Lepisosteus oculatus: one gene and its partner. The protein of the gene in region 1 binds, or shares a complex with, the protein of each later gene. Links are inferred from orthologs where the notes say so. Each region holds a gene or a part of one and is shown in the gene's direction. Other genes may lie near its edges.

Evidence for each region. Proteins that work in one complex are often made in the same cells at the same time.
Region 2: the proteins of dkk1b (region 1) and kremen1 are in contact, whole or in part, in a crystal structure (PDB 5FWW), measured with the Homo sapiens proteins. The link is inferred for Lepisosteus oculatus from reciprocal best matches to the Homo sapiens genes DKK1 and KREMEN1. Residues at the interface, in NP_036374.1 of Homo sapiens: Cys189, Leu190, Arg191, Ser192, Ser193, Cys201, Arg203, Trp206, Ser207, Lys208, Lys222, His223, Arg224, Arg225, Lys226, Gly227, His229, Gly230, Leu231, His261; in XP_011528731.1 of Homo sapiens: Pro67, Asn88, Asp90, Asp92, Ser94, Trp96, Gly105, Val106, Tyr107, Trp108, Tyr110, Asp127, His128, Gly129, Pro132, Thr140, Asn142, Glu164, Ser165, Tyr167, Ala168, Phe170, Asn189, Val191, Phe193, His196, Asp203, Gly204.

Annotation. Positions count from the first base shown.
Region 1 is NC_090699.1:21,996,885-22,004,788, forward strand, and holds dkk1b (dickkopf-related protein 1b), read left to right. Parts: upstream 1-4,753; 5' UTR 4,754-5,366; coding exon 5,367-5,579; intron 5,580-5,824; coding exon 5,825-5,966; intron 5,967-6,190; coding exon 6,191-6,337; intron 6,338-6,481; coding exon 6,482-6,732; 3' UTR 6,733-7,079; downstream 7,080-7,904. UniProt on the Homo sapiens protein: Antagonizes canonical Wnt signaling by inhibiting LRP5/6 interaction with Wnt and by forming a ternary complex with the transmembrane protein KREMEN that promotes internalization of LRP5/6.
Region 2 is NC_090717.1:3,975,221-3,982,922, forward strand, and holds the start of kremen1 (kremen protein 1), read left to right. Parts: upstream 1-4,222; 5' UTR 4,223-4,560; coding exon 4,561-4,627; intron 4,628-7,702. UniProt on the Homo sapiens protein: Receptor for Dickkopf proteins. Cooperates with DKK1/2 to inhibit Wnt/beta-catenin signaling by promoting the endocytosis of Wnt receptors LRP5 and LRP6.

The DNA of each region.
Region 1 (7,904 bases):
TAAGTAGCTATTTGAAATAGTATTCTGTGTGCAATTATTGAAGCCTGTCACAATAAGTTAAAAAAATTAATACCTAAAATCTAAGAACAGTTCTATCAATGAAAGATGGCAATGGATATTTAGGCCAAGGCAGAAAAATCAAATACATGCAATCCCCAACTATTTTTCTTGAGGGGCTATTGTCAAAAGAAGGCATGAATTGTAGAGCAGCTCAGTCTCGGCACTGCACAGCATAATAGGAATATTGCTTTAAGTAGCTTTCTTGTATATGCAACTCATTTGTGATATGTATAAGAATAACAGTGATAACAGTTTTATTCTTTTCCATTGTCCATTGCAATAATGTAGTCATGTTGCTGGAACCATGAAAAAGAAAAACGTTTCAATATATGATTTTGATTAGAGAAGTTATTTGTCCAGTGTACAATAGCTACTTGCTATATGTTAGTGTGTTAACCTGTTTCAGGCTATTTTGCTCGCTGTAATAGTTAAATGGGGAACTTTGTTTTTTTTATCCACAACAAAACTCATGAAGTAATTATCAGTTGCATTCAGTGTTGCCTAAAACATTTCTTTATTGAGCTGCTTTCATCTTATTCTGTATTCTCACTGCAACTTTAATTGCAGAGTGCCTGTTGTATAACTTTATGAAGCTAAAATAAAGACAAGTTACTTTTGGACACTTCTTGACTGCATTTATTGTTTTCACGTTATCAGTGATGCTGAAATGTTTCACTGTTTAAAAAACTGTAATTCTTTGAGAATTAGACTCCTCAGACAGTTTTCACCCTCTGGTCCACCATTAAAAATGTCATTTTTTTGTCTTCAGCATTCGGAGTTCAGAGTACCACAGCCCCAGAAAACTCTCTCCTGTCTTCACAGAGAAGGCTCTGGAGGCTCTGAAGGGCAAGGCCAAGGGAAATCGATCAGCTAGTCAGGAGGAGAGTGCATGATGGCCATTATTCCCTTGCTACTACTGTTCTGGGATCAAACAAGAGCAATTCAATCTGCAGGCTACCAGGTTGTAGCTGTCAGTGTGATGCCTTGTAGGAAAGCTATATACATTTTAGGTGTGGTGCTGATTCAAGTTTAAAGGTAAAGCTTTACAGTAGATACAGTATGTATCTTCTTACGTTCTGCTGTTTCTGTGAACAAGGGGAAGCTTTTACTCAGCGTAGCCCACACCCTTGGCTCCTCTGTCTTTTGTGTTCTTCCAAATAAGCACATATCCAAAACCTATGATGGAGTTGAGATGAAATCCATTGCATTGTGTCATGGCAGCTTTCTTCACTCTGTGTATTTCATATAAGGCACATCACGGCTGAATTATGAAGGGTGGCTGCTCAAAGTTTTTAACCCCTTACATCAGGGCACTAAAATCAACATGCCCTTCAGTAGCAGCTTTGTCTCCTTTTTTGAGAAACATAATGCAAATATCCATTTTATGCTTATATCTCAATTTACAGCCCATTCAAAAAAGCTAATCATACTGACTCGTCCACATCTTTCCTTTCTAGGAGTACATTCTTTATTTTGTTAATTGTTGCCGTTGTCCTTTTATCAGTGCACTTTTCACTCATCCCAGCTAATTTTTTAAACGACTGACACGTTTCCTGTTCTATCACAGCTGATGGGGTTAAGAGCATCACTCATTAGCTGCCGTCTTCGGAACTTATAGGTATGGAGCTTTGTTTTTGCAGTGCCATCAGAAATGAAGCCGTAGTTGTACCGATATTTAACGCTTATCTCCATCCTTTGGTCTCAACGAAACTGTAGAGACAGCCGTATATCGATATATCATTACAGAAACAAGTTTGTGCTGGATATGGGACGTACCACGTCAGAAACCTCCACCCCCAGTCGAAGAGTCTGAAACGTAGAGGTGTATTTCCGTCAATTAACAACGCAACTTGTATTCGGATGGATTAAACATATCAGAATTCAGTTAACAATTGGTACTAAAACGACAGAACTAGAATTTAAATCAGTAGTACACGTTTAGAAAAGTGTTACCACCAATTGAAGTCTCGGTATAATGGAAACAGCAGTTCTATCAGATATGATTTACTATTTTCAAGAAAAATTAAATGAGCGGAGCTATCAAAACATTAATATTTACTAGAGTTCAGTCCACTAGATGGGCCAAAATCGTATTTTTATGTGCAGTGTGGTATCTTAGTTTTTCTGTGATATTTAATATGTTCTGCTTGTTTCAGTTAATACTAAATTATTATGAATTTATTTACCACTCTTTTGACGTGGCTAACTAGTAAAGCCTATTGTAGTATGAATGGATTAGGCGGCAAGAAGGCATTTGAAAACAAGATTACCTGGCGTCCAACCAGACGAATTTGCTGAGCACAATGTCTGTGAAAACCTGCTAAAAGCCGAGTAAACGGACTGTTTGTGAAGATGCCGTGCCTGCTAAAGTCTGATTAAGACATGGGGTTCTAGTTCTGTTTGATCTCCTCTTCATCAAAGGCTCCTTAACACAAGCTACATTTTACACTACTGTAGGCTTGGATGTACTGTTAAAACAAAGCCAAAGACCAAAGAATTCGGGTGAATGCTGCCAATTCACGTTTAATGAAGTGTATTGAGCATTTGTCTTGTAGTTGCCTATTATAACCAACCTCTGTCAACAGCATCACAAAGCCTTTTTATTTAAGAGGTTATCCAAAGTATCAGGCAGACATTCTCTTAGAAACTGTTAAATCGTTAGCGCGGTTTTGTGGTTACAAACATTTGGCCAATGGAACTAGTCCAGTACGTGTCCTTTTTAATCACGAGGAGAGATATACGGACACCACAAAGCTGTTATTTAAAACGCAAGTTCATATCCAAGTAACAATCAGTTACGTTAAAAATATTTACACGGATAAGTAAATCACGCACCTTTCGATGTGTTAACTAGACAGGAACTGAAAGAGCTAAGGGCTATTACTGACTTTTTGAGCATATATATTTGACAGTATGACAAACGCGCAAAACTCACATATCTTCAGATTAATCATCCATTCTTCCATTGAATAACTCGGTAATAACCTATTTTTTCCAGTTTTTAGCCAGATACAACAGTAGTTAGGCTTCTACCTCATCTTTCACATTCTCGTTTTTAACTTAATAAAACTCTTATTTTGTATTGTGTTTTAACTCGAGGAGGGCCTCCTGTATGTATATATACACTATATGGTTAAAAGTACACACTAATGGCTACAGATGCGACGCATAGTTGGACTGGAAACGTTTATTTATTGTGTGAACCTTTACAAAAGAAATTATCCTAGGATTTCTTGAAGGTAAGAAAAAATGGCAACATAAAATGTGTGGAGAACTCTTGGTAGCAACTGCTTTTAAATATGTATATGTATATTGGCAGCATAAACCGTCAGAGGCTTAAGTGGTACTCCTATTCAACTTTCTGAGCGCCTTTTCTGACCGTAACTTTAAGAAAACAAAAAGACATTTTAATAGCTTCTCCGCGACATAGTATTTATAATTTGTTATGGGTTTGCGCACACACTTCTGAGACTATCCTCTATTATTATGTGCCGGGATATAACGCTTTGAGCAAGAAGCGCGTCAAGCTCTGCTTTGTATCCCTAAAACTGTAGGAACACACTTAAAAGCCCATGCCCTTTTTTTCTGTCTGTGCAGTCTTCTTACTATTATTCTTATTATGCCGCCAGCGCATGTTTTTGTCCTCTTTGTCTTCGGGCGAAAACCTTAAGATAGCATTTACAAAAATCTTCAATTGTATTAGATGGAAAAGGGATATCGATATCAACTTTATTATAAATAAAACACGATAGTCACTACTTCAAGCAGTTTATGTAGCAATAAACATTTTTAACAAGAAAGTTATGTGCGCATAACGGACAGCCACACGTTGTTCTACTACTTGTAAACAGGACATTTGTATTTGATGTCTTTTCAAGTTGCAAGTAATAAATTAGTCCCAATAGTTTTTAAAACTTCATTCAATGATAGGTTTCCCGGTTATACAAATATGCAGCAGGCTATCCTGTTTGTGTGCAATTAATAGTCACATCAGCGAGGGAATGAGAATGTCATTGTAATTACATTTTACAGTGATCAACACCATAAATAGCAGATGTCGATCCATGTCAAGGTTAATACCGACGGGTATGAAGTTGTGGTTGATGAGAAAAATTCCTTTCAAGTTGAATATCTGCGCCTTTTCATGTTTTCTGGATCGAGCCCTGAACTGAAGTTCAGAGAGGCCGATGCCAGTTCCTTATCGTGGAGTGCTAATCAAGCCATATTTGTTTTAGAGCACTTAGGCTAGATGATAATTAATTCGGTAAACTTTTCACTCCCAGTGATTTGCATATCAGCCTTTGATCTTCGCCGATTGTTGAATCAAGTGCATTTCAAAGTTTTCTCATTACAATAACGGATCAAATGCTGCTAATGGACCGAAAATGACTTGAATAACCTCCCATTACAAAACTTTAAGGACTGTCTGGGTTACTTAATTTACTTGACCGGTTCTTGGTTCTTGACAGTTCCTCGTTATTATTATTATTCATATTATTATTATTCATATTATTATTATTATTATTATTATTCTTATTATTATTATTATTTAATTTCGGTTCGGAAAGCGGACGGATGTAAAATTGGAAGAATGACCCTGTTCTAACGTCTCGTTTAATGAGAAAACATGATTCTGTACCTTTTGTTAATACAGACTAATAAAATAAGTGATGTAACATTTCAACAGGATACTCAAGTTCAGCTGTCATGCGCAGAAGGAGTGGGATTAAACTTCGTCAAATCACGTTTAAACAGTGGTACAGATAAACAGTCTGGGTGTGTGAGGGGAAAGAAAAATACAGTAACTGTAGTTAATGTTGACATAAAATAGAAAAAGCAAATGCCATAAGCCTTTTAGGAGGTTCTCTTACATTAACAATGGGTTTAATTATATCCCTTAAATCCGAAGCGAAGTATGGGCGCTGCTTCCAGTGTATCAGAAGATGTGTCGGTGCGTGATTGATGTAATCTCAAGGAAAATCATTGATAATTATATACAAACATCATTGTGAAATCCCAGGAAGAGAATTCCCTTCCAATAGGTTAGTTTCTGTGGGAAGCGCCAGGAGTCCAATCTCTTTGAAATTTCATCCCTGCCTTTGTTATACATAGCTAGGGGCGGGAATGCAAACAACCCCACATGTATAAATCCAGCAACAGAACGAGTGAATCTTCAGAAAAAAACGGGAAAGAACTGCACCGTCTACTCGACCTGAACGCTTACAGAGGACTATACTGCAGTTAGATCGCCAAGGGTGACCAAGGAGTGTGCCTCTTCCTCCCGATTGTAATTTCACAGTTTAAATATGCATTTGGCTACAATACCAGTGCTTTTAACTGCATGTTTCGGGCTGTACGGCTATTCGCATGCTGTTAACGCGGGGTCCGGTCTGTTCAACTCCAATGCTATCAAAAACCTTTCCGGCGGTGCGCCGAATCCCAGCTACCCGGTCAGTGCAAGCCCGGACATCCTTATGTACGACAGCGGCAACAAGAATATTGGCGCGGACACCTTTCAGGTAAGCACCTCTGCAGTTACTGTTGAAGTAGTTGGGAGATGGGGGTCCCTATTTATAACTAGCTCCACAAAATGTGAAGCATGACACAGGCTTAACAGTAACAGGAGTATCGCATTTCATTCAACTTAGCAACTTGCTATTTTTTGCAGATGTATAACGGAACAGTAGCTTTTTTACTTTCCAAAACATGCACCTATACATAAGGACCATTACCTTACCAATACTTTTTTTTTTCTCTTCTTAAGAGTTACAGCTGCTTGGATGATGAGGAATGTGCCGTTGATGAATACTGCCTCGGATCCCGAGGCGTCTGTCTCTCCTGCAAGAAACGCAGGAAGCGCTGCGTCCGGGACGCTATGTGCTGTCCTGGCAACCACTGCAGTAATGGTGAGCTCAAATTTTAACACACTGGAACAATTAGGGCAAGATTCTTCGAAACGCTGGCATACCATAGTCTCTTAAAACGTCTTGATTCCCAGTTTTATGGTGCAGCTCAACAAACTTTCTCGGGGGGGAGAAACGAGGGGCTTTTAGAGTTTCCAACGGGCATTTTACCATCAAACTGTACCTTAATTTTAATTTTGTGTATTTAACCCGTGTTTCTCCTTCAGGACTGTGTTTGCCTAATGATCCCGACACTACTTACCACGCTGTGGTCGATGACACCATCCCCGACCGTCTTGTTGATGAAGATCAGTTCACGGTGGAACCTCATCCTAGACGAACCATCGTACCCACAGGACCTCAGTCGCTTAAAGGTATGGGTAACAACTACACTCACGAAAGCAAGACTGAACCGTAGACCTCTATGCAAGGAAATGTGGAAGCAAGCATGTTTTGTAACTGCGCAAAGCACAAACATACGGCCCCGAAGAGCTTAACATTTAACTTTGCCTTTTCAGGTCAGGAAGGCGAAGTGTGTCTGAGGTCTTCAGACTGCGCAGAAGGGCTGTGCTGCGCTCGTCACTTCTGGTCCAAGATCTGCAAGCCTGTGCTAAAAGAAGGACAAGTTTGCACCAAGCACCGAAGAAAAGGAACCCATGGTTTAGAGATATTTCAGCGCTGCGACTGTGCAGATGGCCTGGCCTGTAGAACCCAGCAGGGTGATCACAGCAGCAAAGCATCCAGACTTCACACCTGTCAGAGACACTGATCAGTCTCGCAGCGGATATCGGACGATCTATTTTTACCTATTCTAAGGACTGATTCTTTGGTCAAAGTGTTTCAAAGTGCTAAAGGAAGAGTTTACATTTAATACTCTGTTTTCTTTTTATCTCTCCCAAAATAGCAGAGTAGCATTGATCGTTTCTCTTTTACGGAACTTCAGCTTCACAATAATTGCAGTAAATTACTGTATTGTAAATATTCGGAGTGGCACTTACGCTGTAATTATTTTTATGTCAACAAGTATTTTAAGAAAAAAGGTGCTGCATGGTTATCCTAAACATTCTACTATATTGTAAATTTGTAAACAATGTAATATTGCTATTTAGAATATGAATATAAATGCCTTTATTTTTATTTTAAATAAAATGTAAAGATATTTAAAACATTTTAAAAAAGTGTTTCATTAAAACATAATCAAAATTGGCTTATCCGTTCATGCACTTATGTCACACGAGAAGCAAAAACCTAGTTAAACACCAGTATTTATAACTTTTTGAATGGATCTTTGTGCTTTAGTTACAAAGTTGAATGTCTGAATCCAAAGGTTTTGACATCAACATTTACAATATCAAATTTACAAACTAAGATATAAATACATTCCAGTGAGCTGTGTGCATTTTGGAAAAAAAAAACATTAAAATACATTTCAACAAGATACACTCTATACCATTGAGCTGTGGTGGATATAATGGAGATAATACTATACACTGATACTTGCTTATGATTACATTATATACAAAATGGGCGTGCAAGCTGGTTACAGTGAAATACTATCATGAGACTTCATTTAACAAAAAGCTTTTATTCTGATTAAAACTAAAATTAGTTGTGATTAACAAGACTTTACCCCATTTTACATGTTCCTGATGTACAACCAATTAAACATGGCACCTCAGTGAACACCATACAGTATGGCCATTTAGGCTATTTGTAGAAGTCTAAAACATCTCAGGTGAGAGTCCCACTTGCAAATTTCATGTTTCCTGAAATATCATTCCATCTACCCTTGAGAAACCATATGGTTCAACATATGGGAACATTGCATTAAAATCTCAGATTTCTTCAACAGAGCTCATGATCCTGAATTTTGGAGTCAAAGGCTGTTCTGTTGGCACAAAATAAAAATTTCCCACTCAAGAAATAAAGTGGCCACAGAAA
Region 2 (7,702 bases), on another chromosome or scaffold:
CCTCTGGGTCATCAACAGACTTCCAAAAGCAAGCCTTTGGGGTTCACTTGTCTGTGGTAGGAGGGATATGTTGCACCTGCCCAAGATGCACAGATGTTTGCAAATTTCAGTCTTTTCCCTCCTTAGTGTTTCTATATTACCTCTTTGCCTAACCTTAAAGTAAAAGGAAGCTGGTTTACAATAAAGATACATGTAACATTCCAAAGGGTGTCAACATTCACTAATTAGAGACCAGGAGCAATACCAATTTGACTAATCCCAGGGCTAAAGGGTATGATTTATAAATGCAGGTTCAGAGGAGTGAACCTTCCTGGCCAGGAACAAAGAAAGCTTCAGGGAAATTTGACTGAAGTCTCTAAAATTGTGATGAGGGTCAACACAGTCATTTCCTACTCACAACTTCAAATGAATTTAGGCATAGACCAGATCAGACAACATACCTGGAACTGGATGGAAAATGTGTGGGGACAGATTTATGGTGGAAGCTTTTTTTTACATATGAACAGATGTACTGTATGAACCAGACTCATGCTGATTCATTGCAAGACGTCAAGAATTAGTATGATTAAATGCCAGGTTTAATAAGACTTGAAACATCAGAAAAGGCCTTTGCTCCTAATGGTGAAATGATTTTGACCTTGTACACAAGGTCAGTGCATCTCATGTTAGCAAATGTTGTTTAATTGAGAAGCACAGCTGTGTCTATCCTGTACCGCAAAACCTCACTAATGGAGCAAGCACAGTAGTACAGCTTACAATGCTGATACATCACATGAAATTAAGCAGTAATGTTTTGTTACAAAAATAATATTTTCCTGAAATTTAACATTTACTCATGGGTACAAAATGGGGGGAAATAAGTAACATTTGATATTAGATGGCACTAAAGAAATTTCTGTAAAGTATAGCTGAACATCTTGATGAACATCTCTAATCGTGCAGAGGGAATGGCTGCATGGAATTCGAGGTACTGCCAATGTTATTGTTATTGGAACACGAAGACTGAACACCAACATCGTTCCCCACTCCAGAATAATCTGTGAAAACATTTTTCTCATTTTTTTTCAATAAGCAGATAATTGCTTTCTGTTTTTCCTCAAGTCATGCTTCCAATAATCCTTTAGTAAGCGTACATCTCCTGTTATTCCTTTTGACATGTTGCCCTTGAGTAAATGAACAGGGGCAGATCGGACCAGATGGCATGGAGGATATCAAAATAAACACGAAGAAGTGGGTCAAAAAAAGAACGGACCGCATGCGGAGGCAATTAGATACCATTGAAGGTGAAACCTGATTAAGGAACAGCATATTTTTGAAGTGGGTATATAATATTTCTACGGGAAAAGGCCAAGACGCAGTAGCATGTAGACTTGGCCGTTTTTAATCTACTGGTCAAACTGCTGCAATTAAATCTGTAGTTTATTACTGAATGTAAATGCAAGTTAAAAGGGTTTCAAAGTCCATAGCACACGAAAGTGTACTAGCAATTTAAGGAAAAAATGCTTAAATGCATAACACAGACGTCAGAGTTACATGAAGAATTGCACCCATGTAGAACACATATAACTGGACAAAGAAAGCCAAGCTGAAAAACAGTTGTCAATGCACAGCAATTCGGCTGGGGCTGGTTAGTGGCCTGGCCATGTTACACAAAAGAGAATTTAGAAAAAGAGAGGTGACACTATAAACGCAATAAACCACTGACGCAGACAGGTTCAGACACGTTTGTCAGACAGCTTTATATTCATTTCCTAAGCAAGCATTTTCTCTGTCTCTCTCAAATGTCTGTCTTATCCTTGCACAAATTCAACGAAAAATGGTTATCGTTCTGTGAGATCATGTCAAAAGAATAAAAGATATTCCCTCCAATTTTGCTGTGAAAAACAAAAAGTATGGTACAAATTGTTTGTTGTTGTTTTTAACTATTGTTTCTTGTCCCATGTTTGTGGTCTGTGAAATGTAACATCAAATTTTGTGCGTCTCCATCTAGGGTTGACCAATAATTATTTTCCAAGACTTTGTACGCTTTCTTAAATATATTATTTATGGAATGAAAGATGATATTGTTTTCTCCTCTAAATGGTTACGTTACATACTGTACAGAAATAGCAGTGGGAATATATGGAAAATATTTCATCCCATGTTACTGCAATTTCCTAACACGTTAAATCCCTTTTCTAGTGACAGTTCATGCAGTCATCTGAACCTGAAGTGACAATAAGAAGAAACAAATTTCACCAGACAAAAGCCCCTGGCTATCAGTGTCTCAGACGTCAATGACAATGGAAGTGCTCTCAATTTAAACTCAATTGAATGAATGGATAAATTATGTACAGTAGACAGTGATCTAAGACACTGTATCTTGGTTGCCAATGATTAATCTAGGTAACGTACTCTATAAAATGCCTTTCCATGAAAGCAACTGGATGCGTTTTTTTTTCAGCTCTACTAGAAATTCATACTAGTACATACAGAGATGAATTGCTCAGGGTCGTTTTCCATGTAGTGCATTGTAAGGGAGATTAATTTTAAAAAAGGAAAGCATTTCAGATGCCTTAAATGTTATTAATTTAGTTTATATACCAATTATTTTAATACACAAGGACCATTCTCCAAATAATGATTAGTCTGGGTGGAAATATTCTATTTGTTTTAATGTTTTCTTCTTTTCAGGGTTAAGAGTTGAAACTAACTGCAATAACGATTCTGATCATAATGAATAGATGATGCAAATCTTGATTTGAACACCAAGTTTCTTAATTTTTTTATTATTTTACTGCTTCTGTGGTTATGGAAAAAACGTATTTCAAGCTCTGCTAAATTCTTCTATTAATCAGCTATATTTAATCTCCACTACTCTACTGATTAAAAATTCAATTTTCATACCCTCAGTTCAATTACACTTGTAATACAAACAATGTCCACAAGAGGGATACGTATAGCATACTTGAATGGAATTCATTGAAATATGGTTCAAATAATGCTAATACTGCTCAAGATTTGAGCTTTAAAATATAAAGAAATGAAAAGAAAACGATGTCTCATTTCTGTGCCTGAACATATTTCTGAGCATTTCTAAAGCATAAGGGTAGATAACTTGTATACCACTGAGTAATTATTTTTTTATTTGCATTTCACTTCAGTATTACATTATTAATTTAAGTATAATCCTTACAATCCCATAGACATACGCGTAATTATCTTCTGATCTGAGTATATTTTTTTCACGAAAAAAGCTTTGATAGTTCAGCTCATGATGGGATTCTGCCCATCTGAAGCACAATGATAATTGTCCTTCAATTATCCTGTTCTGCAAAGAAGGCTTTGAAATCTGAACACTACAATATCCTCCTTACGAGCAGCCCCTTCAATTGATCACCCTATTCACTTTTCCTCAGGCGCTGAGGCAATTACATGGAAAAGCAATAATTCACCGGTTAAACTTAAAAAAAAACAATAAAATTCAGTGTTGTGAATTCACAAATCCAAGTGTAGATTACATTTAGTGTGATAGATAGGTATGCAATCGAATGGTTTGGGCCATTGGTTTTCCTATTTAGGTCAAGGTCCAGAGTTCTTATGACCCTTAAGACAGGTTCATTAGTAAGCAGCCTGGATAATAAAGGATATGATACATTTTTAATTTGCCTGGGTGTTAGTGTAGAAACAACTACAACAACACATACCTTCAATACATACAGTAGATACGGGAGCTAATTGTATCCGTTTCCCTACCTTCCTACGTACCTCAATCACTCTACACTAGAATCTCGAAAGCGAATTAATTACTTTTCACGCCTTGTTATAACAGTCCATAGGCATCCCGTTTGCACAATTTTGTGAACAAGGGACTGAATGCTATCAAGTGCAGACAAGCTGCCCAGGGTTGTTTTCAGTGAAAGAAAATGTTTTGGGCTGCTGGGATTAGCTAAATCATACGAGAGTCGCGACTTGGCTTTTTAACAAGAATATAAAAGCAATCCACATATTAAAAAGGGAAGGAAAATCTATTCCTGAATCAATTAGAAACATACTATTAAAACGCGATAAAGACACTGGTTCTTTAGGTTATTCAATACGCTTCCATTTAAACATTAACAAACGCGGTCTCAGCGGAAATTCCTGGTTTCCCCAGACTGACAGTCCTTTTTACGGCGATGCTTAAGTTAACTGGTATTTTAGCCATTCGGATACTGCTTGCGCACAAGCACTAAAACTGCAGTTCGCTGTTGACAGCCAGCTCTAACCCGCTGCTAATACCACCAGCCAGCAAACCGCTCGCTCTATGCCCAATCTTGCAGGTTGAAGCTGTGGCCCCGATTTCCTGTCACATGATTAGAAATAGGATCCCTGCTTTCTACTATCTCTTGTCTGTGTGGTTCGGATCTGCCTTGTAGCTGGGGGATCAGACGCGGTCCGGGCTGGCTTTAACTTAAACCATTCGCGACTTGACTTTTCAGATCGGAGACGTGCTGTGTCCGAAACAAGTCACCTGCGACTCTTCCTTTCTCAGACTCCACGAAAGAGCACCTCGTCTGTCCTCTCTTCTCAAGTTGAGCGATGGGATCGTTGACAGTTGCAATCCTTTTGGCTGGATTTCTCCCAACTTCTGCTCAGTTTGAAACGGGTAAGTTTGTAACTTCTTTCCGGACGCTAGCTACCGGGGAGTTTTATTAGCGTGAACGGTCAATTTAATCCTCCGGACTGCAGAGTTAAAATTAAACAAAACAAACTTTTTCAAGCATGCATTATCGTCTTCCTGTTAATTTGTAAATGACAACTGACGTTATTTTGTAACACAATTGTAGCTGAGTGGCGAGAAGTGTCAACATTTATCACGCCTTGGTCTAGTATTGTCATATCAAAGCGACGAGTGACTGATGGTCATTTTATTAATATTGAACTTCTACCGCGACCCTCGCTAAGACTGGCAGACTGAAAATGGATTGAGGGGTTGAAACGCGATTAATGTATGCTTAAAGCTAAAATATGCTTGGGTCTTCATTTTCACGTTGAATTAATGCGTCAAATTTTTAATTTTGCTTCTCTTTTGGCGATGGAAATGTTGTCAAAAGGGGTGACAGAAGCACTTCAAAATGTACTTGTACATCTGATGTGCAGTTCACACACCAACTGAGGCAACTGCAGATGTAAAACACGATACTTTTGTATACTATCTTAAGTGTATACTGTATACTGATCTGAAAATGCTGCTCTTCCATAGTACTGTACAGAGACAAGAGAGGCAGATGTTCTGTAATGATAATTTTCTAAATACTGCAACACTGTTTATTTGGCCTTAAAATTGGAAGGGAGGTGTGTTGGTTTTCATTCCAGGACTACTCCATGTGGTATTCTACAGCAATATTAAAAACACTTTTTTAATCACGATTTATAATGTCCAGTCCGCCTTTATTTCCAAATACATTATATTACGATAATAATTAGATGAATGTCATGCGTATGCCAAATAAAATCAGATGTCATCGGAATTTGTACTTGAGTAATTTTAAGAACAAGACACTAGCTAAGTACAGCCCTACTGTAAATTATTGACACCAGACAGGGAAATGAACAAAATTAGTACGTATTCAAACCTTTGATGAGAAACCAGTCGTTCCACACGAACTGACATACGAGAAGTCATCTTCAGTAAACCTATTGTTGAGACGCAAGACACAGAAAGCTCTGCAGGATATAGCCTTTCCAAATTGCACATATGGAAATGAATTTCTTTTTAAAATGAAGCTTATTTAGAGAAGAAAGAAATTGTTCATTTAAATATTTAATAACGACCACATAAACCAAACTTCTCTTGCTGTAATTTGTGTTGTGTTTCATGTTTAAAAAGCAAATCCTCATGCTATGCTTTTTAATTTTTTGTTTCTTAATTATAGCCTTTGATTCAAATTAGAGGTTTCACCATCTGGGCACTGCCTAACTGCTGCCATCTGTACCTATGTATTAACAATGTATTTAAAGCTACGGCATTCTGTTTTTTTAATGTTGGGGGGGGAAATCTTAAGCTTCTACAAATTTAGAATGAAACGGTTGTGTTTGTTATTGTCTATTTTCACGTGAATATTTATTTTTATTAAAATTGTTTGTTGCATAATAGAATTGCAGGGAAGCAAGTCATGTTCCTGTTTTGCTTTAGAGCAGAATATTCAAATTTTCTGCAGTACATACAGTAACACAAACTCACATTGATGACTGTATGTGGATGTTTTAAGTTAGGAAAGAGATACGGTTTCTCACATGGGCCAACATGCAACACAAAGTAAGAAATCTATAGTGTGAAGTGGTATCCAGTTCAGTTCTGACTGAAATTGTGTTTTGCAGTTTTTAAAAGCCTATTGTAAAGTAACGCAAGTGTGCAATAAGTCCACCACATTTTTGTAAGATTTTGCTATTATTTGCTATTAAATTCACGTTCTGTGCTGCCTTTTCTGCTTAAAAATGTGCTGGCAAGTAACTGCATTTGACATCTGAAGCATTACTCTTCCTAACAATTGAAAATTCCATTACTATTCAGCCATTCATAAATGTGCAGTTAAGTTACTTTTTACTGTTTACTGTTTGTATCTAGTAGTTAGAATTAGATTACTAATAAAAAGTGATTCTTTTTTATTGGATTTAGCTTCTCTGCCACATTGATGAAGGCATCCTGTGTTTGGAGAAATGGTTGAATTGAGACTGTCAGATCAATAAAGCCACTAACAACCAAACAAGCTAGATATGCCAAATGACTTCCTTTTGTCTCTTAGCATTTATTGCGCTCTAAATATTACTTAGTTGAATGTAATCATTAAATTGCTGGTGCGGGACATAATCTAATATGAATTCCTTTTTTGTATTTTAAAGGCACTTGTAATTGGTAGGTGGATATGAAATTAATTATGTCAACAAGTCTCTTGTAAGATTTGGTGGAACTTGGCAGGGAATTATAATGCCATTTATTTTATTAGTTCTACTGCTCCTTGGTGCTAATATGTTCTTATGTTGTCTATGCTGCAGCAGCCAAGAATTTGGATTTGCCTCCAGATGAAAAATTATAATTGAATCTTTTATTAACCTAAAGGCAAATTAATCACCTAAGTCCTTAAATTCAGGAAATTTAATTTTTTAATTCATTATAACAAATCATTTCTAGTTAATGACTGATCAGGCTGCAACCATGATAAGGGGAGATAAAGCATAGCAATTAAGAGAAATCATGTATTCAGTTAAAGTCTTACTGTACATGTCATGTCTGTTTGTCCAGTGGCCAGGGTGTGCAATAAATGACTGAATAAAAAGATAAGCTACCGAATGGTAGCATGTTTTTGTTATTGTTCCATGAGAACAATTTGCTTTGGAACCCAGTTCTAGGACTGTCCCATCATTCAGTCCTCATTACTGTCACGGAAGAGAAAGAAGTAATTAAATAATTACAAGTAATCGAGTTAAGTGCAGTTCTGTAATTGAGGACAGTGTTGCTATAACACCACTTCTGGAGAAAGAACTCCTGAAGTCCTTATTTCATGAGGGTGTCTGTCTAAATTCATTTCAAATTAATGACCAAAATGACATTAATTATTAACAATTAATCACTGAATGGAGAAGAGACTTGACTGACATCTTTAGACTTTTAAAGGCAACAGAGTCAAGTAGGAATTTCAGGTTAAGTTCAGTGAACATAACATGGGTAGCTGAGAACGTG